3 linked regions of the Alligator mississippiensis genome follow. The protein of the gene in region 3 interacts with the protein of the main gene of each other region in a pairwise test. Links are inferred from orthologs where the notes say so. Each region holds a gene or a part of one and is shown on either strand. Other genes may lie near its edges.

Region 1 (7,670 bases), on a different chromosome or scaffold from region 3:
GGGCTTTCAGTGGAACTTCCTCAGTCTGAGATCATTTAAGAGCCTTCTTGTTGATCCTCAATCTTTGGAGCCAGGTAGTATTTTAAGTGTCCCATATCAGCAATCTTGTACTCCACAACTGAGGAAAAGGGAAGAAAGACACCACAGGTAAATCAGTTAACTTGTAGCACCCACAAAAAAAAAGTTTAGTTTACAAGAGGGTCAAGATTTTGGAATTCAACTAAAAAAGTAGCGACAGCTGCCTCCTCTTACCAAGGGGAACATCTGCAGACATGCTGAGCGTTACTGTAGGCGACAAAGGAGTTGCTTTGGTAAAGAAGTTCAAATACCTCAAAGCAAAAGTCAGCTGGACTGCCTCATTCATCTCTATTGTAACCTAACAAAGATGTTTAAAAACCAAACAAAAAAGTTAAAACAAGTAGTGCACCTCTTGGGCAATCAAAGTTATTGGCTCTTAGCAGCATTTCTGTCCTCTTACCCGTTTGGATGGAGAAATTGTTTTGTGTTCCAGCTCTAAGCACAGCCTGGTACTAGCACAACTTCAGCTGAACCAGCTGTTCAACCCTAAGCTCTGCGTTTGCATAAATCAAGGATATTAGTTTTGCTGTAGACCAGCAACTTTTTCCTACCTCTGTTCTTTCAAACCCCCTTTAGATCAGGGTTCTGGAGTAAAGATATAGGAAATGCTCCATTATGTTTGCTGTAATCATTTCAGCCACCTTAGTTCTCTAAACCCAGAGAGACTCAATATATCTTTTATTATTCTACTTGTAACTTGTAGAGCGTGGCAGCAACAGATGTCATTTTTTATTATTATTATTATTATTTATTTATTTATTTATTTTTTTAAAAGACCTCTTAAAGGAAATCTCAACTTACAGCTTCTTCCTCTTTATCAACATTACTGGTCTGGGACAGTTTGATGTTTCCACTTCCTAGCTCTCCATTAGCTGAAAATTTGACACCATCTTTTGCACATGAGATAACAACTGCATCTCCAATATGGCTTAGATCTCTGCAGATGCGTGCAAATTCAGCTGAAGGCATTTTCACAACACAACTGTATTCTTGTTCCTGTAAGGAAAAAAAGAACAAACAAAAAAAAACAGAAACTGGTCTCAGATCATAGGTCCTCAAGGCTGAACTAAATAAGGCATGTTACAGCTTAAAAATTTACAGTAGAAGATTTCTACTCCTTATGAAAAAGGAGAACAGCATCTCAAGGGTTGTAGTCCTCATGTCTAGGACAAATTCACTTGTCTTACTTGAGGAAAAAGATAAGCCTGTTACTTAAACTGGTAAAAAAAAAAAAAAAAAAGGAGGACTTATTTAAATATCTTCTATACCTTTAATCTAATATGCTTACATAACATCCTTTGAAAATACCTTAAGTCTGTGTTTATAAAGAATAGACTGCTGAACTGCATTATGGCAAATCTGAATACCGAACTTTACTCAAGTACTTCCAGAAAGCACTGGGGAGCCTACTCCCTTTTGAACCACCTCAAAACTATGAATAATCACTTGTGAGCTTTACCTTCAGTGGGCATAGCCAACAGGGGTCAATTAGTGCACCTCTCTTTGTAAAAGGAAGTGCTTAAAAAGGTAGGTTACAAAACGCACTGTCCTCCTGATCATGCATTTGAGAACTGAAGAGCCAAGTCAACCACTATCCACAGTGATCACCACTTCAAAAACTCTAGGCTATTCCTAATGCTTCCCATGGGCCATCTTAAAACTATCCCACTGAGGTGAGGAACTGGGAACACAGAAAATTTTAGAAGCCTTCAACATTAACATTTTACTCTCACTTATGAGTATTAGCAATTAAATTTAGCTCAGACAAAACAAAATGGCTTACTGGGATGCCAAGCTGTTCCACATCCAAATCCATTAGTTTCATCTCATAATCGGAGACCTTTTCTTGATCTAGGAGAAAAACATCAAAATACATCTGTGTGTTTGGTGAAGCAAAGTTAAACCTGTGTTTTGCAGTTAGATCCTCTTAAACTTTTACACAGAAAAGAAAAAAAGTGATATTCATAGATTGTAAGGCTGGAAGGGACCTTGGAAGATCATCAGGTCCAGCCCCATGCACCAAGCAGGAAAGATAACCGAGGGTCAGGTGACCCCAGCAAGGTGACTGTCTAGTCTCCTCTTGGAGATTTCCAGGGTAGGCAATTGCACCATCTCTGGAAGGAGCTTATTCCAGGCTGGACACCTCAACTGAAGTTTTTCCTAATGTTGAGCCTGAATCAATCTTCCAGGAGTTTGTGCCCATGACTCCTAGTTTTCCCCTTGGGTGCCCTATCAAACAGCTATGAGCATGCCACCCCACCCCAAGTCACAGGACACAAGACATTTCTTGGTGCAACTACACAAGTATCCATAAAAGCTTCTGGTCATTTAGATGATCGTCATCTACTGTACTCAGCTAAAAAAAATAAATAAATAAATAAATAAATAAATAAATAAATAAATAAAAAAAGTATACACATCACACAAAGCTTTTGAACTAGGTACTAGCATAAACCAGATGAGTGGTTCTCACACCACCCCATCATGGCGAAGGGCCTTGACTTTGGATGCCACTTTATTTTGTACAATTTCAAAGGCTCATCTGTATACTACAGTGCTCAGCTGCTTTCAGGAGAACCAATCAGTGAAGATGGAGAGGAACCAGCCAGACAGAGACAAGCCTGAGCCTCCAATTATCTAATTATATCTGCATACCTCCAAAATATCTGGCAGCACTTCAACACACTGCGGGACCCTGGTTGTGACTCAATGATTCAAGTGTTCACTTCCAGCCTCATCTGCCTATTAACTTAATAAGAGGCACTCATTTTAGTCTTCAAGTAGTGCTGCAAGTTCAAAAACTGACACTTTTTTTTTTTTTGAGGGGGTGTTTATTTTTATGCGCATGTGAGCTTTTAAGTGTTTCCTACCTTTGCTGAGGCAAGGATTTCATAGGGTGATCTCTTTGATTAGATAAACAGCACAGGATAAGAGCTAGACAAACTTTTGGAAGCAAGACATTTATCAGGCCTCCTGCATCCCAGCTGTACAGTTGGCCCAAGAGATGACCTTACAAAATCCCTGCCTATCACCTCATTCTCAGACCCCTGCAGCTCCAACATGGCTTGAGGCACCATACCTGTGAGGACTCATCTGACTTCTTTGCTGCTCATGTGACCAGACTCTGGAACTGATTCCCAGCGGAGGTGGTGCAGACACAACCTAGAGATCTTCACAAAAGTTTAGGGCTGGAAGGGACCTTGTGAGAACACAGGGGTAAAGGAGACTAGATGCACACCCTGCAGGGGTTGTTTGAACCCAGTAGTGTTTCTTGTCCAGGGGCTGGACCCAATGATCTCATGAGGTCTCTTCCAGTCCTAAACTTCTGTGAAGTACAGGTACTTACTTGGGGCCTCGAACACCAGGGCCAGGGTGTCTGCATTGTCTTCTGCTCGCAGCGTGATGATGTCTTCGTTGCCAGCACACTTCAGAATTTTGGACATGCTGCAGCAAGGGCTAGACTAGTTAGACCAGCCCAGGCAAGGCATCCTGACCCACCACATCCACTCTTCCTCCCCCCAAGCCCTGCAAGCCGTTTCCAGGCCAGAGGAGCAATGCACTGCAGGGGCCACATCCACCCTTCCCCTTCCCACCAGGCAGAGCTGCCGAAACTCCTCCCCCCGCAGGGGTTCTTTCCCGCCACTGCGCGCGGGAAAACCCTGAGCGCGGGGCGCCGGCGTGACGTCACCGCGCACGCGCGCGGCACAAACGGGACAAGCGTTGCGCTCCAAGCCCCCACAACCGCCCCCGTGGCACCTGGTCAGGTTGACGCCCATAGCGATGTTACGGTCGCAGCGGTAGGTGTCGAAGCCCTCGGAGCGCAGCGTGAGCTGCACCAGTGAGACGTGCGAGGAGTCCATGCTCTGCAAGCTGATGCCGCCCGAGCCCAGGTCCCAGCAGGCCTCAGTGATGAGGTCTTTAAGCGCCTCTAGCACGCGCTTCAACACCGAACCCTGCACCAGCCGCGCCTCGAACATGGTGACGAGAAAAAGCTACTAGACTGCTGCTTCTCGGGGCGCGCCAACGGCTCTCTTTATAGCGCCTCTGACCTCACGTCCGGGTCCCGCCTCCCCGGCTTCTCCACCAATCGCAGCAACCTGAAGCCCCGCCTCCTTGCCGCCAATCTACCGATCCGTGCCCACCAGCGGGATCGTGCGCGAAAAATGAAAGCTCCTCCTTCCGGCCAATCAGAGCCTGGGAGTCACCGGTAGTTCCGCCTACTTGGGATTCTGGACAGAATCCCGCCCACGTGCTCTGCAACCGCCAATCCCCACGCAGGTAACAAGCAGCGCGTTTCCTCCCACCAATCGAGGCCGGCCTTACAACCCGCGTTGTTTCACAAGGCTGCGAGGGTCGGCTGCTCGGCCCTGCCTCTGGGATGCTCCCAAAGCAAGAGTGCCGTGCCCAGGGGCTGCTACAGGGAGCTTCACGGCGTCTGGGGGATGGCTCATGTACAACCGCCATCGGCGTACGCCTATCATGGCAGCCACCACAGGCCGGGGAGGAGGAGGAGGAAGAGAAGAGTTCCTACATCCGGGTCAGGAGGGGCAGGGCGGGGCGAGGCGAGTGGCCTCGCCTCCTTCCCGGCTCGCGCTGCTCCCATTGGCTGCGGCGGCGCCAGGCGGATGGAACGCTGGGGCCTGGGCGCACGCGCTGCTGCTGAGGTTCGCAGCGGGGCTCAGCATGAGCGAGCTGCGGCAGCGCCTGGGCCGGGAGCCCGACGACAAGGTACCGGGGCGGGGCCTGGCGCCTCCCGCCTGCCCGCAGGTGTAGTGAGGGCTGCTCGGCCCGACCTTGCGGAGCGCGGGGGTTGCAGCGGGGCGGGGCAGCGGTGCAGTGCAGTGCAGTGCAGTGCAGTGCAGTGCAGTGCAGTGCAGTTCATCTGGGTTTGTATGTCGGTACAGCTCGGGTGGCTGGGGCGTGGGAGGCACAGCCTCAGTGCATCCCTGCCTGAGCTGGGCCATGTAAGCGTTTGCTCCCCGGGCGTAGCTCCCAGAGCCCAGAGGGATCCACTGCCAGGGCACCACTAGTAATGTGCCAAATGGGTTGTCAGCTGCACCCTAGGGGCCAGCTGGCTAGGGAGAGCTTGCATGTTGACTTCTGTATGCATAAATGCTGGTAGCATCACACCCTTAATTTCCAAGACCAAGATGAAGATGTTTTAGGGAACCAGGCTGTAGCCAAATTCATCTCTCCTCAACTCATTAATTCCTGTGAAGTAAAACACTAACTGTTTAGCAAGGCATTTCCACTCTCTTTGGCTGCAAGACGCCACGTCTAAGAGCGGGTACTGAGTTGCCATGGGATTGGCCCAGCCTGGTGCTTCTGGAGTCTCATGGGACTTGAGGCCTAAACCATTGTTAAGATGGGGTGAGAGAGCTGTTCTTTCACTGTACGCTATTACTGTACGTGCTTCTGCCAAAGCCCAATCCAGATGCTTGGAGAAATAGAGCTAAAAGGTTGGCTGTCCTTCACTAAGTCATTTGCACTCTCACCCTCTTAAAGGGTGCCCCTTGGAAGATGTGAGCAACTAAAAGCATGGACTTTCAAGGTAAAAGTCCTATTTTGAAAAAGTCTTTGGGGTTCTTTGCCATTCACAACCCTATGGGCCTCAGGAATCAAGCTGAGGGGGAAATTGTAATTACTCTTGGCTGTTTCATGCTCTTACCTTGGCCTTGTCAGCTACCATTTGGCTTGCATTTATGTTAGAACAAAGTTCTGGTTCTAATTCCAAGACAGCAGTGGAGTGCTTCAACCACGTAACCTTGAAAAGGTGAAAAGCTTTCTGTGTCAAGTAAACATCAAGTGATCACTTGAAATTCTTTTGTTTTTTTTCTCAGCCGAAATCTTTGCATTTAAAATTACTTAAGACATCCTTTTTTAGCAGCTAGCGCAAACTGTAAAATAAAGCATCATCCTTGGGTCTAATTACTTTCTTGGTTGCTATACAATTATAGAGCTGGAAGAAATGACTCTAGAAAATGGGATTGCTGGAAGCTTAACTTTTGATGAAGATGTAAAATGCCTGACTGCCTGGTAACTTGTAAAGCTTTACGGTGTTTAAATTTACCGACTTGGTTTAGCTTTGCTTTTCTATATTAAACAAGAGTGGATGGAAACTATCACCCTCTTGATAATTGACTGTTTGCACTGCATTTTTGCACTGTAGCAAGGTGACTTAACTCTTCCTGTGCCTGAAGAAGGATGTTTGTACCTGAAAGCTTGCAAAGAACAATTTTTCCAACTATAGTCTAATAAAAGATATTGCATTTACCTAAAGAACCTTGTCTGCCTATGTCCTTAGACCAGTACAGCTACAACCAATAGCCCTGTTGTATCCTGGTACTTTTGTGGGAGTTGGAATGCTTCCTTGGGAGCATTGGTATTGCTCAACTGGTATGCATACTCTCAGCAAGCAGAGTTGTCTTAGCTATGTGGGACACAGAAGGCCAAAGGGCTGTTTCTTAAAGTCTGATCTCATCAGACCCAAACCCCTGATCTCATCCGATGCATTTTTACATACAACAGGATTCCTTTAGTTAGCATTTAAGTAATGCATCCAAAATGCTCTCCATACAAGTTGGGGTTAACTGAATATCCTAAAATAATTTGAACAAACACAATGCACAGGGCCAAGAATTACATCAGCCCCACTGCCCTCAAACAAAATGTTGAAGCAAACCCCTCTCCTTCATATTCCATCGCTGACCTGCTGCCACTGACTGAATTTTGTATTCAACAGAACATGGTATAGAATAGGCAGCAAAGAACATCCTGAAGGCTGAAGTTGGAGTGGAATGTAACTGTCTGAACTGCTGAGTTGGCCAGTATCTCTCCTAATAATAATGTATTCCTTAAAACCGCACAGGGTCGGGGTCTAGGATTAGGAACTCTTGGAGGCTAGCATTGTGTTGTCTTCTGGTGTCTGCAAAGTGTCTGTAGCATACTGTGGGCATACCATCAATATACAAGACAGCAATTCAGTGAAACCTGTGCTGATACCTTAAGCCACTAGCAGGAGGTCTTCTTGAATTTTATCAGGGATGTCCCCTGTTCAGACATCCTTGTGAGTCTTCCTTTACTTACTTTGTCTCCCAGCCATAGCATAGCCAATAATATTAATTCTAGTACAGTATGCCTGTTATATTTCACAGCAGGGGAGGCTGCTTTCAAAAGGACACTGAATTTGTAAAGAGAAACCAAAAAGAATGCACTTGGTTTCATTTTTTTAAAATAAATTGTTCTGTTAGTTTTAAAACTAAAACTGGAAAATTCTTAATCTGGCTTTTCTGCCTTAGTTTTCATTTAGCTCATCTTTGACAATGGAAACAGGAAGGTGTGTTTCATTTTGTGGTGCTTCTTTTGCTAAGGTAGTGCACTAGCTGTGCTGTTGCCCTTTACAGTGCTCATGGGATTGTGTAAATGCGAAACCACATGAATGTTACTGAAATGAAAACCTCCCCTTAAGGTAGCTTGCAAAAGAAGTTCTGACTGTAAAAGGTCAGCATTATTTTACTCTTCCCTTCAGATCACAATTTAACATTTGATTAGGGAAGCTTGAATTGTGACTGCTACCCTTGGAATAAATAGGA
Region 2 (6,988 bases), on a different chromosome or scaffold from region 3:
CCAAAGCATGCATGCAGGGGCATGCTGGGACAACCAGCAGCAGCACAAATATGTTCCACTGCTATTTGTCCAGCGGGAAATGCGTGCCCCTGTTTGTGCACACTCATCGGGGCATGCCCTATTTAGGTGGGTACAATAAATAGTCACTTTATTTAGCTTATCTGGAACTAGAGACACTGGCAGCTTTAGAACTGCAGAACTGCAGGTTTCTAGCAGGATTTCCAGCTGTTTTGCAGACTCCCAAACTACGGCATGCCGAATCCTAAAGCTTACACAGCAGAGGAGGAGACAAGCCTTTTGATTATCCTGAGAAACCCTTTCAACAGCCTCAAAAAGTGCATGCTTGCCTCCTCGTTTTGCTGAGTCACGGCAGCCTAGGTTTACGCCCTGGAATGCTGAGTAACTGTTTCCATCCGGGCAGGGCTTTTTTGCTGAGTCACAGCAGGCCAGGCGCTCATGTGAGCCTGTGTGTCAATCTCATGGCTTCCTGGGCTGAGATTGCAGCTGTTTGACTTGGCTCCAGTCCCATTCTGGACACAATCAGACCTCAGAATGCTCTGGAAATTATTCCATGCAAGCTGGTTTCTGTTATCTTAAATCTAGGCATGTACTATGCAGGGAAGGAGACGCAAGTTATTTGTCCCCTTAGAGCTAACAAAGCTGACTGGAAGGAACTGGAATGGGACGGTCAACAGCCTTTTGTGATGTTGGGAGCTGTGGTAAAGCAGAGCTTTCTTTCTAACTCCTGCTGATTCCCTCAGTCTGAGAAAGACACAGTCTTCCAGAAAATGTCCCTGTTAGTGAAGCTGTCAAAGGATGTGGTCCCCCAGTAGTGAAAACCCTTATGCATGTTCTTCATCTTGCATATGGGAATCATCTACTTTTGACTTCAAAATGACTACACATCAGCAAAAAGCTAAGTACAGGTGGGAGTGTTTATAGAAGCAGGGCTTATTTTGCTATTTAATATGTAATTTTCCTTTGGCCCTGTCTTCCTGTCCTCTCACTGCCCGTGGTTTTTTTTCCCCTGGTGTGTTTGTGGAGCGACAGGGACCAGTGAACAGATGAAGCCACAGATGGGGGGACTTTGTCGGTACAGTGAGCGTGCTGCAGGATTTGCTAGTGTTTTCCTGATCTGTATGCCCTGAGTCGAGTGGGACTGTATGTGCCCGCAGAGCTTGTCGGTGCCTGTGTACTCCCACCACACTACCAGCAGAATTAACGTAACCTCCTTGTGTACCATCCAAGTGCCCTGGGGAGCTCACTGGTTTCCAGGGCCACTTATTTAATACATAGCATGTGTCCTCTGGAGCATTTCTTATTGCAGCCCTTGGCATGAGTGTTACCATACGTTCAGGCTGGTTGCCAATGCTAGGAGTTCTCCTTGCATTTGGAGCCCTTCCTTGACTAGGATTCCTACGGGCACACTGGATACACTGTCTGGACTGCATAGCCATCAGCATGGGGTATTTTTTACTGCAAACTCCCATTGTTTTGCCTCTCACCTTGTCAACACTTTTTCCTTGAAATTTGTCTGTGCTGTGCAAACCCATTACGCAGAGTGACTAACTGAGGAATCCCTCCGCACTCTATTCCCATGTCTCTAGAAGTGCAAAGCTTTTGGGATCCACCTCTATATAGGCATACTTGACATGTTAGGAGCATATATTTTCAGAGTTCCTACTCTGACCACTGCTCTGCAACTCAGACCGCACCTTTGATCTCTAAACTGAAATTGTTAAATGACTCTCAACAGCTGCACCATATCTGTGGTAACTAGGCTGGGCCATATTGCTGTAGGTAATGAAAAATGAGTCTGTGCACTGTTAACATCCTCTCAATGATGCCATTGCCCATTGCGGGCTGGGGTTGCTATAACACTTCTCCCCAATGAGACTTGCTTCTGTTCTTAGGGGAATGATTTTTAAACTCTGTGAAGCTGTTGCCACCTCTACTGTGTCTCTTTTAATGAGGGATTCAAGCCGCTTTCTCTCTGTTCCATTACAGGCTAAAATTACTGAGTCAACCTTTCCCTCTCACACCAAGAGCCTACATTCAGCTGTGCCCCGGTCTGGCAAATACCCCTTGTTTGTCACGCGGTAGTTTTTAGAGAACGCTGTATTCTCTGCTTTGCCTATCCTCTGGGCTTGCACACCGTGGCTGGAGAAGGGAAACGCAGAAGTGGGACTGTGAAAGGGTTCTCCTCCAAAGGGTCTTCATAGCAGGCCCCAGGGAGGGACAGACCCCAAGCAGACAGACAGTACTGGTTTTTTGTAAAGTACTTCAATGTAAAAGCCTGGAGGATCAGAACTCTTGGGGAAAAGGCCTAGGACATAGTCTCTTTTCCCCTCAGGACCATCATTTCATTTCATTGAAGTTCACTTTAAGTTCATAACACTTAAGTTGGTTTTGCAGTGTCCAGCCTCTTGGCACTTTTCCTGTAACTGTAGCACCAGTATTGTTGCATGTCAGATCCTCCAGGAAAGAGTCAAGATAAAAAGGTGAGTAAAATTTCCTTTGGAAACTGAGGCAGGGCAAATAGTGCTAGGGCAGACCATAAGGAAGTGTTGCAGAGGCCAGCTCTTCAGCATGCCTTCAAATATCACAGACTTAAATAAAAAAATAAAGGGAGGAGTTTCTTTCATACCAGGCAAATGTACTCTATCAACAGTAATGCATATATTAGAGTTTCCCACATTCTACCGGGGCTTGCTGAAGAGAGCTGAATTTCTGTGTCCCAGAGGAGAATAATGCAAGAGGAGAATAGTCACTTCATGGCTGCCACCTTCACTGACACGGAGTCTCTCCAGATTCTCCACGTGCAGCTTCTGATCACTGCACAGGACATCCAAAATCAAAAGCATATTCCCGGCTTTGTGAAGGATGCAGCATCTCAGTAGAGACGCATGTTATACCTGCATATGTGTGATACATTTATTTTATCCTGCATGGTCAATGCAGAAAAATAGCAGCAGGAAGAATGCAAAGATATAGGACTGAGAAAGGAAGCCGAGGGCTTTACAAGACTTTTCTGGAAGGCTCCTGTTGCTTTAAGAGAAAGGGGTAGTCGGAGAGTGGCCCCGCTGAGTCAGCTGTAAAAATGCTGCATCATATTTCCTGAGCAGACAACTAACTCCACTTGATGCAAAAACATATGAAGGCATACAATTCTTGAGGGCCTAATTTCACACCAGAGTACTGGAGCAGTCTGTAATCAGTGCCAGGTACCGTGCAGGCTAGGAGTCCAAGTCAAGCGGCTCTTGCCCTGTTTCCTTGGCAGAACTGCAGTCCCATTTTAACCGTAATCCCCAAAGCAAAGCCAGTGGATCCATTTTTCATTGTCACAGGCCAAGCTTCTGAAATTTGGAGATAAGCACCCCCCATGGGCCCTCTGACTTCCAGTTATTAATTTCCCCAGATAAGTTAGTTGGCAGACACAAACCAGTCGCAGACACAAGCCAGCCAATTAATGAGCCATGTAGTTACTCTTGCCCCTAGACCCAGGTCACTTGAACTATTTGCAGACCTCCAGCTCCACCTCAGGCCCAGACCTGGCACATCAATTTTTAAGTCCTTAACATGTACTTGGATAATTCAGCCTTCTGTATGGGGCAGGGGACAATTCCCCGTCCTCGCATAATACACTACAACTTGCTGTGCTGGCTGTGGAACATGATAGCTAATGACCTTGCCCACGTTCCTCATTTGCATTTAGTCCTCCTTTAAATGGACCCCCCCCAGCCCCCTTTTTTTTTGAAAGTCAGCGTATGTACAAGAAGCTTGGACCATTTATTGTTCTGGATTATCTGGTTCTCATTGTCACAGCAGAAAAGGGGTTAATAAGCCTGGGCAAGCTGCCTAGGAGAAGTCTCTCAGCCCTCTCCTGGTAGCAAAGTATGTATGTCGCAATAAGTTTAAACTTGGATGGAGGCCAGCTGTTTTCTGGGCTGCTCACGTGATCTGACAAAGTATAAAGCAGGACGCAGGGGACGGGCAGCTCAGCTCAGCAGCTTCCAAGAGTCCTGAGACGAGAGAGAACGGAGAAGAGGGAAAGATCATACGAAGGCTGTAGAGGAGCAAAGAAGAGAAGAAAGAAAAGCAAAGAGAAATGGAAACGTCCAGGACGGCCAGCCCTGAAACGTGAGCGAAGGGACTAGAAACAGAGGGAAATTATCCAAAGAAAGGAACAGCCTTGATCTCCCCGTGTTCCTTGAGATAGGGATTTGGGGTCCCATTTCTACCTCTTCTCCACTGGGAATAGGATACTCCCCTCCACCTAGGGTTTGACAGTCTTCACCCTGTCCCCTGCCTTGTTTGGACAGAAGCTGGAATGCTGGTGAACCTCCGCCACCCATGCCCTCCTGGGGTGGGGTACTGCTTTCTCTTCCCGGCCTCCACCCCTTACTTGCTCCCAGAGAGCTAATTCTCATTGTGCAGGGGATAGTGAGGTACCTTAGACGCTAACACCTTTTTCTGCCCATTTTCCCAGCACAACCAGAGACCTGTCAGAGTCCATAAAGGAAGCCACCAAGGAGGTGCATGAACAGGCAGAGAACACAGAGTTCATGAAGAAGTTTCAGAAGGCAGAAGTGTCACTCCAGGAATTTAAGGTACTCCTGGTAGCATTGTTTGGGGCTGTGAGGGAAAGGGTTGGGTGATGCAGGGGGTGCACTTTGGGAATATTTATCTATACCTAATTCAGACTGGCTGTGCCAAGAGTATCATTTGCCCTCCTTTCTCCTTAAGGAATAAAGTCTTTGTATCCCAACCACATAATATCACGTCACTTATAAGATGACCATTTGGCCCAAAGCAACTCGAGGGCTGTCTAAGTGTCTTACCAGCTCCTCTTGCCAATGGTGTGGTAGAGTTGTACGTGTCTTGATGGATGGCAAAGAGGGGCATCATATAAGCCTTGGAAGGCTAGGCTGAGGGGCATCTATAAAAGGATGCATAGGCTGAGGGGCATAATATAAGCCTTGCCTTGCCAAGGCGGCATAAAGAAGATAAAAGAACTCAAGGGAATGCTTTACAAAGAAGTACTCAAGCAACTGAATGCCAGGGGTTTTACTATGGTTAAGTGATGTCTAATGGTGGTATAATTGTATACAAACATATGAAAGGTTACAACACCAGTGAAGGTGAAGAACTCATTACAATCATGATGGTGCTCAACCTCTAGCCAACCAGCCAGATGGACCCCTGGAGGCCATGTCATCCAGCCAGGGGGTTTTCCCACATATTAAAAAAAGATGGCAGTGGTAGAGTGGTGGTAGCTTTACTTGCCACTCCCGTGCTGCCAATTTTCTGGACCTGTGGAGAGCTCCACAGGCAGGATGATGTGGCCCGGTGTGCTAGGCTGCACCCGCACACAGTGAGGCCCAGATCCAGCATGCAGACTGGCCCTGAGCCACACATTTGGCCCGTGGGGCTGGAAGGTTGAGCACCATTGCATTAGAACAGTCTGAGTGGGTATAAATTAGAAGTAATAAGGGTTAATAAAACTGGGACAGCTTGACTTGGTTATTGAAAAGTATTTTTTAAAAGCAAGGTCTGTCAGGTTGTAAAACAGTTTCTGGCACTTTGTCCTTCAATATAAGAACTATAATGTGGTCCTGTACTGAATGTGAGGGCGCAACTGCTCAGCTCACCCATGAATTTGAGTGGACTCTATCTGTTGCAAACACCCAAGAGCTCACTGTTTTTGTTCAGTTCTAGTAGAACAAGTTATAGATGCTATGTAAACCAAACCCTGGATAAATAATCCTGAGCCACATGCCAAAGCCATAAAAAATAGGGAAGCCACCTAAGCTGGAAAGCCCTATTAAACAACAGGAAGTGACGCATGGATTGTCAAGTTGTGTGTGTGTGGGTGATCCGGTGTGTAAATGCTTTATTACTGAGCTGGAAGTGCTTTGTTGTTGAGCTGGTCTCTGTTCTGAGTATAGGTGCATGGGAAAGGAGAATACTGGTGATGTGTTGGAAATAGCTAGGCTAAGTCAATTATCCATCGGTTCCTGAGGATAATCCTAGGTGTTGAACTCCTGCCACTAGAGATCCAGCATAGCCTAGTGAAATCCAGAAGGTGCTCATAGGAACACAGACAGTGAGGCCCTGCAGAGACCAGAGGATAGGATCCGTTTCTAAAATATTCACGTGCTGTCTGAGAGAATCAGATGTGACGGTGGGCTGTTAAATACAGACCTCACCGGTTGAATTTTTCAGCCCCAACCAAAAGACACACAACTTGCACTGATGTCTTAGTTGGCTTGGAAAATATCAGTTAACCTAGTTAAGGCTCCTTCAAGTACCGTTTCTGTATTTTATCTATACTGTTGTCAGACTTTTCCAAGTACCTGATGAACAGGATTAGAGTTTAATGGGTTCATATTTCTGTATTACATTTCTTGTAATTTACAGATTTACTCTGAAAAATGGCTATGTAGAAAGAGCACTTTCTTCCTCATCCAAGTTGCTTACAAGTGTGTGCATTCGGAGTCCTATCTGTTGACTGGTTGCAAAAGTAGATGTACTGCTTTTTAGTGCTGTCGGTCCTGCAGACGCAATGCCAGTCCATGAGAATGAACAAGTTTCTTTTCTGGTTTGTATACCAGCAACAGAACTTGTAAACAAGCCTGAGCCATCTGTGCCGCTTTGTCTTCACTAAGGCCTTTCAAGACTGACTAAGGGCAACGTTCGAATATGGTGCTTATGTAAACATACGCATCCTTTCTTACTGGTGACAATGCATGGGATGAAAAGAAACCCACTTTCAAATAAAGAAACAAGCACACAGCTCATACCAATATTTTCAGAAAATCATGTTTCAGAGATGGAAACATGCTTTTGGTCCCTTTTTTACACCAGCAGTCAACTATCAGAGGAAAGACATTGCTGTCTAGCTTCCAGGTGATCAAAGTGAAAGCAAACAAGTAGCCCTATGTAAAGTTCCAAAAGCAGCGGACTGAGGCTGCAGTTTCAGTGCCTG
Region 3 (7,920 bases):
AAGACTCCGAAAACATGTCCCCTCCCCCCAAGGAGCACAGGAGCGAGAGAAGGGAGTAAACAGTGGCTGCTACCAAATATGGAATTAGCAGCGGGATGAAGCCATGGCCCAGGCATCCCGACATCCTGCCGGCACATCCACGGGCCAAGGCCCGGCCTGCCGCAGCGGTCGTCGGGCAGCCGCCAGCCACGGCAGGGCCTCACCCGCGCTCCAGCCGGGGCACAGCGACGCAGGGGCAGGAGATCTGAGAGCGGCAACAGGAGGAGCAGTCTCAGCCTTCCCTTCTGCAAGCACGACCCACCCCGAGCGCGTGGCGGGACCTGCCGGGCTCCCCACAGCACAGGCTGCCTGCGGCAGGCAGGGGCGCTGCCCCGACACCCCAGGAGCGCCCCCACCCCACGTGCCCGCGACAGCAGAGCAGCACAGTGCAGTCTGCAGTCGCGGGCCCTTCCTCCTCGCAGCAGCAGCATGGCACTTCCCCTTTCGGCCTGCGTCCCCTTGCTGTCCCATGGTCTCCCCTCCCCCAGGACGGCCAGGCACGCCAGCACTGGGGAGGCACTGAAGTTATGTGCTCCACCCCATGCCCTCTCCTCTGGGCACAATCGGCCTGTTGTCTGGGGATTAGCGCTCCAACACCCACACCAGCCCAGCCCCATCAGCAGTAGCTTCCACTGGTACCCAAAGCCTCTGGGGGCAGCTCAGCAGCAGGACCAGGGAGGATGGGAGTGAGGGCTCTGCTCTGGAACGGTGCCCAGGCACACGCACTGGTGCTGCAGAGCTGCCCTGCATGTTTGTATCTCCTTGGCCAGTGACTGCTCCCAGGCCAACCCTGCCCTAGACGTGCCCCCAGCGGGGCTGGGGGAGGGAGGGGATGGACGTGCAGCAGTGCAGACCTTGGAGGAAGAGCCTGCCGGCCTGGGCCCTACCCTGACATGGCTCCCCACTGCGGCTCCGGGCAAGTCACTCCAATCAATGCTGGGCGCAGCACCCGCCAGCGTCCTGGAGCCCGCCCTTCCCTCCCAGGGGATGTGCCGATGCACCAGGTATGAGTCGGGTGCAGCACGCTGGCTTCGGCTCCCACTGAGACCCAGTGGGAACTTGGCCAGGTTGGAACTGGCTCACCACGACAAGTGGTTATTAATACCTCTCATGGCGTCAGGGCACTGGCTGGGAACGTCCCTCCTGCCGAGTTGGCAGCTACAAATGGCTCATATGGCATGGTGTGTCAGACCCCAAAAGGGGCAAGCACCAGGGGCTCAGATGGCTACTGGGGTGGTCTGGCCTGACGAGGCTCCCTGCAGGCATGGCAGTCCTGGCCCCTCACCTCCTCCTTGCCCCTCTGCGCTGGCCGGCTCCCGAGCACGTAGTGGGGCACCGAGACCACAGAGGTCTCTGGCCGAGCTGTCCCCGGACCCCAGGCACGAGACACGGAGCTGCTTCCAACACGGGACTCGCTCCTTCCTGTTTCCCAGGGTAGCATTTCTGACCTGGGGAGGGAGCTCAGCAGCACGTGACCCAGGCAGCCCCGGCAGGCCACAGCCTTGCCAGGACCAGCACGGAGCAGCCTCCAGTCCCACACAGGCCACTTCATCAGCACTGAGCGCAGGAAACCCAACCCCAGCCCAACCAAGAGCAAAAGCTGCCCACAGGGTCAGGCTTACTGCCCATCCGCCGGGAGGCCCAGGGCTTTGCAGGACAGCAGCCCCTCCTGCTCTGGTCAAATGCGGTCCGCAGCGGCACCACTCCCCAGCTGGAGACCAGCATGTGTGCCTGAGGCAGCCAGTCTGGACCCTACCAGGCGCCACCGTCACTAACAGAACGGAGTCTCCCCACCTGGGACAGGATCACTGGTGACACCGTCTCCTCCCCATGGGATTTGCCCCATGTACCTGAGCCAAGCTGCCCTCCCCAGGCCAGCGGGAAAGCCCCTGCCCATGAGGGCCAATGCTCCCTGCTTCCAGGCCCTTGCCTTGCACAATTTTCTTCAGCCACACAGTCCTCACAGCCTTCACTTGGAGGCACCAGGTCACTTTGTGCCAAGCCCCGTTGTAGAGGAGAAGATTAAAATTAACTCCAGGCCAGGACCACCAAGGCCCCATCACGAAGCGTGGGCAAGCGAAAGCAACCCCAGCCTCTGCTGGAGGGCCTGAAAGCTGGGCACGAGGGGCAGGAGGCATCCGACGCTGCCAAGCTGGTGCGATGGCATTGCCTCCTGCCCTGCACAAGCAGCAGGACAGCAAGCCCGAGGCAGACATCACGATGCGCAGCATGACACTTCAGGCGCTACTCTACCTGACACGTGGCGAAGGGGAGCGCAACCTCACCCCCGCTGGGGGGCACAGGCGGGCTCAGCACTCATGCAGGGGCAGCACTTGCCTCAGCTGACAGGACTGCTGATGGCTCCACAGCAGTTGCCTCAGTTGCCCTGTAGCCCTGCAAGGCAAAGCTCTGGTGGCACAGCACCGTTGCCCCCGCGCTGCCCCGCAGAGCTCAAAGCAGTCCCACGTGCTCTCCTGCCCATGGAGATACAGCTCATGTCTGCACAGGCGCCAGCGCCAACAAGAGCCAAACAGCATGCCAAGGGACTGGCGGATGGCGCCCCTCCGAAAGCCCAGCCGCAGCGGAGCGGGGCAGCCGTGCCAACATACAAGAGAGGGTCTTGTGCCTAGAGGGGCGCAGCCGGGACGTGGCTCTAGTCAAGGCGACGGCGGCTGGCCCACCTGACCGTGCCCCCATACAGAGGAGCAACCGTGAGCAAACCTGCTGCCTTGAGTCCGGCCAGCCGTTCTCCAGGCAGGAGCAGTCAGAAACAGGCTCACATACCTGTCCAGACCCCTCACGTGGAAATGCACCCCCAGCCCTTCATCTGAGAGAAGCTATCAATCGCCTCACCTGGCGCCTCGCTGTCACAGGAAGGGCTTCGAGATAAAGGCCCCGCCACGCTCTGCAGGGCATGTCGGGGCCCGAAGCCGCTGCCCACAGACCAACGCATCTGCCTGTCCTTCAGCCTGGAGCACAGGCCCACCTCCCTCCCAGGCAGCTTCCCCCTCTGCCCACAGACAGGCAGCCCCTGCGACCTATCCCCTTCAGAAGTCCCCGGGCCCCAGCACGTGCTGGGGACAGCCCGGCAGCTGCCTTCAAAGAAACACTCCAGCTCTCAGGAAATGTGGGCATGGGGTGAACCCGCAACTGGGGCAGGGGAGAGGCACCCCCAGGACAGGTACTGCCAGGACCCCCAGCCCCACGAGGCAACAGAGCTCAGGGGAAGGCGTGAAGGCGAAGAGTCATCAGGTCTCATCAGGTCAGGGCCACAGAGCCGGGAGGATGCCAGGAGGGCAAGCAGCAGACCTCCCGCAGCGAGGAGATCCCTTCCCTGGGGCAGGGACCAGGAAACGCTGGTGGTTTCACAGCCCAGCAGCTGCATGGGACCGGGAAGCCTTACACAGCACAGCGCTGCGGACCTGGGGCTGGCACAGGGAGCGGGCGGGAGCCAGGAACCCTGCAGCAAGAGCTGCAGGACACAACTGACTAAAAATGGAAAGCGCCCAGCTCCGCGCTGCCAGGCCCCGCGGCCACGTCCATTCATCACCCGCTAAGCCAGACACTGCACGGCTCGGCCCCCCGGGCCACAGCCAGCTGGGCTCCACGGCAGGGACCCCCGCCCCCAGCCACGGCCCAGACAGGCCGTCTCGTCTCAGGGAAGGGGGCAGAGCAGGGGGCAAAGCCCCAGGTGCCAACAACGCCAGGGCGGCCCAGCCGAGCACCGCAACACCCCCGGCCCCGGCCCACGTGCGCCACGCTCCTTACACGCGCCCCGCGGGGGAGGGGGCAGCAGGCCCCCCGCGGCGCCGCCAAACCATGGCTCAGCCGCGAGTCAGGATGCCTCACACCCGGGACGGGCGTTGGCACGGCTTCCTGCCCCCCCGCCGCCCCCCAACGGCAGCTGCGGGATCCAGCACCAAGTGCGGCCCCTCCCGCACCCGCCCTGGGGCCCGGCCCGGGGCTCCCGCGCGCGCCGCCTCCCCCCACCCGCACCGCACCGCACCAGGCCTGGGCTCCGCCGTGTCCTCCCGCCCGGGCCGGCCTGCATCTGCTGCCACCGCCCCGCCCCGCCCCGCACACAAACCTGTCGCACAAAACCGTGCCCCGGGCCCGGAGCCGGAGCCGGCGGGCGGGCGGGCGGGCGGGCGGGCGCCACCAGGGCCTGCGCGCGGGGCGGAGGAAGGAAGCGGCGGGCGGGCGGGCGCGGAGCGAGCAGGAGCCGCAGGCGGCCGCGAGCTGCGCTTCCTGCCAAGAGGCAGCGGGCCCCACCCCGCCCCGGCCCGGCCCGGCTGACACGGCGGCACGGCAAGGGGCCGGGCAGGGCCGGGCAGGGCACCGGCACAGCCGGGCGCCGCGCACGGGGACCCCAGGGAGGGCTGCGCAGCGCGGGGCGGCCCGGGCCTGGGGGCCCGCACGCCCAGCGCCCCCCGCCCCGCACATCGCGGGGCGCCCTGCCGCGCACACCTCTTAGGGGCACCCCTCCGCACGCCCACCCCGGGCGCCCGCCTAAGCAGGAGACCCCTGCGGCGCGCGCTCTGGCCGCCCACATCTGGGGACACGCATCTAAGCACACACATCTGCCCCCCCGCTCCGCGGGCACGCACATCTGCCCCCTCCCCCCCCCGTACCTGGCCCGCGGGCTGCGCGGCGCTGCGGGGCGGACGCGGGGCTGGGAGCAGCACAGGGCAGGTACAGAGCGGCACTCTCAGCTTCCCGCCCCACGGCCACTCTGGGCCCTGCGCTCGATGGTGCCGGCGCAGTGAGGGCGCCGGGCGGGGTGAGGCCAATCGGGCGCCATCTTGGGTGCGGGCAGCGCCGCGGCCAATGGAGGCTCGAGGCGGCTCCGGCCCCTCGTGGGGCCGCGCGGTGGGTGCTGGGAGCCGCGGGCGCTGACGTCATTCCTGGTGTGTTGGAAGGAGGCGGCGGCAGCTGCGGAGCCGGGGTCGGCGGAGGTACCGGCGGGCGGGCGGGCGGGGCCGGGAGCCCAGGCGCGTGCACCCCCCGGGCGGGGACCCAGGTGCCCCCCCCAGACAGGATCCCCGGCGTCCGGGCCGCGGGCAGGCGGCAGCGCCAGGTCCCGCCCCGCCCCGCCCCGCCCGGGACCCCCCCCCCCGGGCCCGCCCCGCTCGGGCCCCCCTCCTTCCGTGGCTGGGCCCCTCTCCCTCCCCCTTGGGCCCCCCCCGCCCGGGCCAGGTCCCCCCCTCCCCCTCGGGCCGGCCCCGCCCCCCCTCCCCCCCCGGACGTGGCCGGCCCCGCTGACGGGTGCGCGCGCAGATGTCGGTGTCGGTGGCGGCGGCGGCGGAGCGGGCGCCGCTGGCGCTGGCGGACGGGGTCGGGGTCGGGGACGGGGTCGGGGTCGCGGACGCGGACCGGGACCTGCTGGACTTTCTGCTGGCGGAGGGCGCGGAGCTGCCGGCCGACCCCGGCGCCTGGGGCCTGCTGGAGCCCGAGGTGAGGCTGGGCCCCGGGGCGGGGCGGGGCGGCCCCTACCCCTACCCCTACCCCTACCCCTACCCCGCCCGCCCGCCACGCTGACGCTGGGGTCTGCAGCTCCCGGGAGACGAGGACGTGGACGCTTTCCTCAGCGCCCTGCTGAGCCCCTTCGCGGAGGGCCCGGGCTGCTCGGCCCCCGCGCAGCAGCCCCCGCACAGCCCCGACAGCCGGGCCGCGTCCCCCGGCAGCCCCCCCGGCCCCGACAGCGTCCAGTTCGAGCACAACTACTCCCTGCTGCGGGACGGGCTGTGGCTGCAGCATGCGCCCGCGGGACCCGCCGACGGCGACGTCTTCATCGACCTGGGTGCGCACGGGCCGGCCCCGCGCCGAGCCGCGAGGGGCAGGAGGCTGCGGCCGGGGCTGCCCCGAGCCCCCGGGCCCAGGAGCTGGTGGGGGAGGCTGCGGCTCCGTGGGGCGGGGGTCGTCTGACCCCTTCCCTCCTCTCCCAGACGCGTGGGCCGGGCTGGAGAGCGCGGAGGAGACCTCGGGCAGCGAGCAGAGCTTGAGCTTCCCCGTGGCCGTGGCCGTGGAGGACGTCGTGCCTGGGACCCCCACGCAGGTACAGCCCCTGCTCCCAGGAGTCCTGCAGACGGGCCGGCAGGTGCCCGCGGGGAGGCCTGTCGGGTACCGCGGACTAGCGGAGGCTCCTGCGCGGGGACAGTCCTGGTTCCCGGCGCCCGCCCCGCCTGGCGCTTCCTTCCTTACCCTGGGGTTTGCTCGTCTCCAGCTGGACCTGACGGAGGAGGAGAGGCAGCTGCTGGAGAAAGATGGCGTCACACTGCCGTCCCACCTGCCCCTCACCAAGGTGAGCCCTTGCCCGCTGGCACCGCACCCCTCCCCAGGCAGGGGTTCAGGTGTGGGCACAAGTGCTGAGCAGCAGCCCCAGTCCCCGGGGCCGTGGCACGTGGCTCAGCCTCGGTGGCTGGAAGGGGCAGGGGGCCAGGCCCCCACTGCTGCTGGCCCCACTCCTGTGGCTGCCCCCAGCCGGCTGCTGTGCTGGACCTGCAGCCACTGCCCCTCGCCCTCCTGGCAGCCAAGGCGTCACCTTGTCACGAGGGGCCTCGCTGCGCTCATGCAGGGAGCGGGCAGCGGAAGGATGGAAGCTGCCCGGCCCGTTAAACTGCCAGGCCTGTGTGCAGCCAGCCTTGTCCCGGGGGCCAGGGCTAGCGGCTCTGCCCTGTCCGCCTCCCTGCCTGTGCAAGGTACCTGCTGGCCGCGGGCTAGTGGCTGCACGGCCCAGGGTCCAGCCTCGCTGCCTGCCTTGGTGCCGGGGGCACGGCCAGTGACAGCAGTGACTGTTGCAGGCTGAGGAGCGGCTGCTGAAGAGGGTGCGTCGCAAGATCCGGAACAAGCAGTCGGCCCAGGACAGCCGCCGGCGCAAAAAGATCTATGTGGATGGGCTGGAGAGCAGGTACCAAGCCCGGCGTGGGCGGAGGGAGCCACGCATCAGTGATGTGGGCATGTCCCCCTGCCACAGCGCCTGTAGTAGGGGCTGTATCCATGACCTGGGGCACGGGGAGCAGTTCCATAGGAGGTCCTGTTAGCCCCACAGCCTCGCCCAGCTGCCATGCTGCCCCTGCGGGGCAGCTGGAGCTCTTGCTCCTGTGGCTGAGGGCCCAGCCCCTGCTGTGGAGAGCCAGGCCCTCTTCCTCTGGGAGCCTCCGCCTCTTCTGCTCACGTCCCATGGAGCCCTGCCCTGCCTCGTCAGCTGGGGGCTCCTCCCAGGTGCCTAGCACAAGGGCCCTGCCCCCGTAAGACCTTGGGAGCCCAGTGCTAGGAGGGCCGAGTCATGTGCAAGGAGCCGGGCCCTCCTGCCCTGCGCCGTCAGCCCCCAGGCGCTGAGCTGAGCCCCCAAGTCTGGTCTGGCTGATGTGCTGTCTTGTGTCCCCTGCCTGCCGGAAGGGTGGTAGCCTGCACGGTGCAGAACCACGAGCTGCAGAAGAAGGTGCAGCTGCTGCAGAAGCAGAACATGTGAGTCCCCAACGTGAGCACCTGGCAAGGGCAGCGGGGCCCTCTGTGGTCCTGAGCCCCTGCAGGGCAGCACCAGCGACTGGTGCAGAACAGTCCGAGCCTGTTTGCCAGGCACGCTGGAACTACGGGACCAGGGGGGATGGGAGGAGGCTGGCCTGGCCCGGGGCTGCGGCTGTGCTCACCCCGTTTCCTGCTCTGCTGCAGGTCGTTGCTGGAGCAGCTGCGGAAGCTCCAGGCCCTGGTGCGACAGTCCTCAACCAAGACTACCACAGCCAGTACCTGTATCGCGGTGAGTGGCCCAACAGCCAGGCCAGGGCCTGTCCCCTGTGCCGCGGGAGCCTCTGCCAGCCCACACACTCTCTCCTGCAGGGGCGCAGGGCTCCCAGCAGCGTTCGGTCCCCAGCCTTGGGCCAA

Evidence for each region.
Region 1: the proteins of CREB3 (region 3) and CDS2 interact in a two-hybrid assay, tested with the Homo sapiens proteins (2 studies listed by BioGRID and IntAct). The two-hybrid records come from large-scale screens. The link is inferred for Alligator mississippiensis from reciprocal best matches to the Homo sapiens genes CREB3 and CDS2.
Region 2: the proteins of CREB3 (region 3) and HMOX1 interact in a two-hybrid assay, tested with the Homo sapiens proteins (2 studies listed by BioGRID and IntAct). The two-hybrid records come from large-scale screens. The link is inferred for Alligator mississippiensis from reciprocal best matches to the Homo sapiens genes CREB3 and HMOX1.

Annotation. Positions count from the first base shown.
Region 1 is NC_081830.1:25,945,085-25,952,754, forward strand, and holds the start of CDS2 (phosphatidate cytidylyltransferase 2), read left to right. Parts: upstream 1-4,670; 5' UTR 4,671-4,761; coding exon 4,762-4,845; intron 4,846-7,670. Other genes in the region: PCNA (proliferating cell nuclear antigen), read right to left, coding at 36-118, 253-376, 880-1,074, 1,862-1,929, 3,425-3,522, 3,835-4,055. UniProt on the Homo sapiens protein: Catalyzes the conversion of phosphatidic acid (PA) to CDP-diacylglycerol (CDP-DAG), an essential intermediate in the synthesis of phosphatidylglycerol, cardiolipin and phosphatidylinositol.
Region 2 is NC_081827.1:101,609,693-101,616,680, reverse strand, and holds the start of HMOX1 (heme oxygenase 1), read left to right. Parts: upstream 1-3,988; 5' UTR 3,989-4,108; coding exon 4,109-4,140; intron 4,141-4,489; coding exon 4,490-4,610; intron 4,611-6,988.
Region 3 is NC_081826.1:303,315,000-303,322,919, reverse strand, and holds the start of CREB3 (cyclic AMP-responsive element-binding protein 3), read left to right. Parts: upstream 1-4,912; 5' UTR 4,913-4,994; intron 4,995-5,316; coding exon 5,317-5,493; intron 5,494-5,592; coding exon 5,593-5,839; intron 5,840-5,984; coding exon 5,985-6,094; intron 6,095-6,262; coding exon 6,263-6,340; intron 6,341-6,839; coding exon 6,840-6,946; intron 6,947-7,437; coding exon 7,438-7,506; intron 7,507-7,710; coding exon 7,711-7,795; intron 7,796-7,920. UniProt on the Homo sapiens protein: Endoplasmic reticulum (ER)-bound sequence-specific transcription factor that directly binds DNA and activates transcription. Plays a role in the unfolded protein response (UPR), promoting cell survival versus ER stress-induced apoptotic cell death.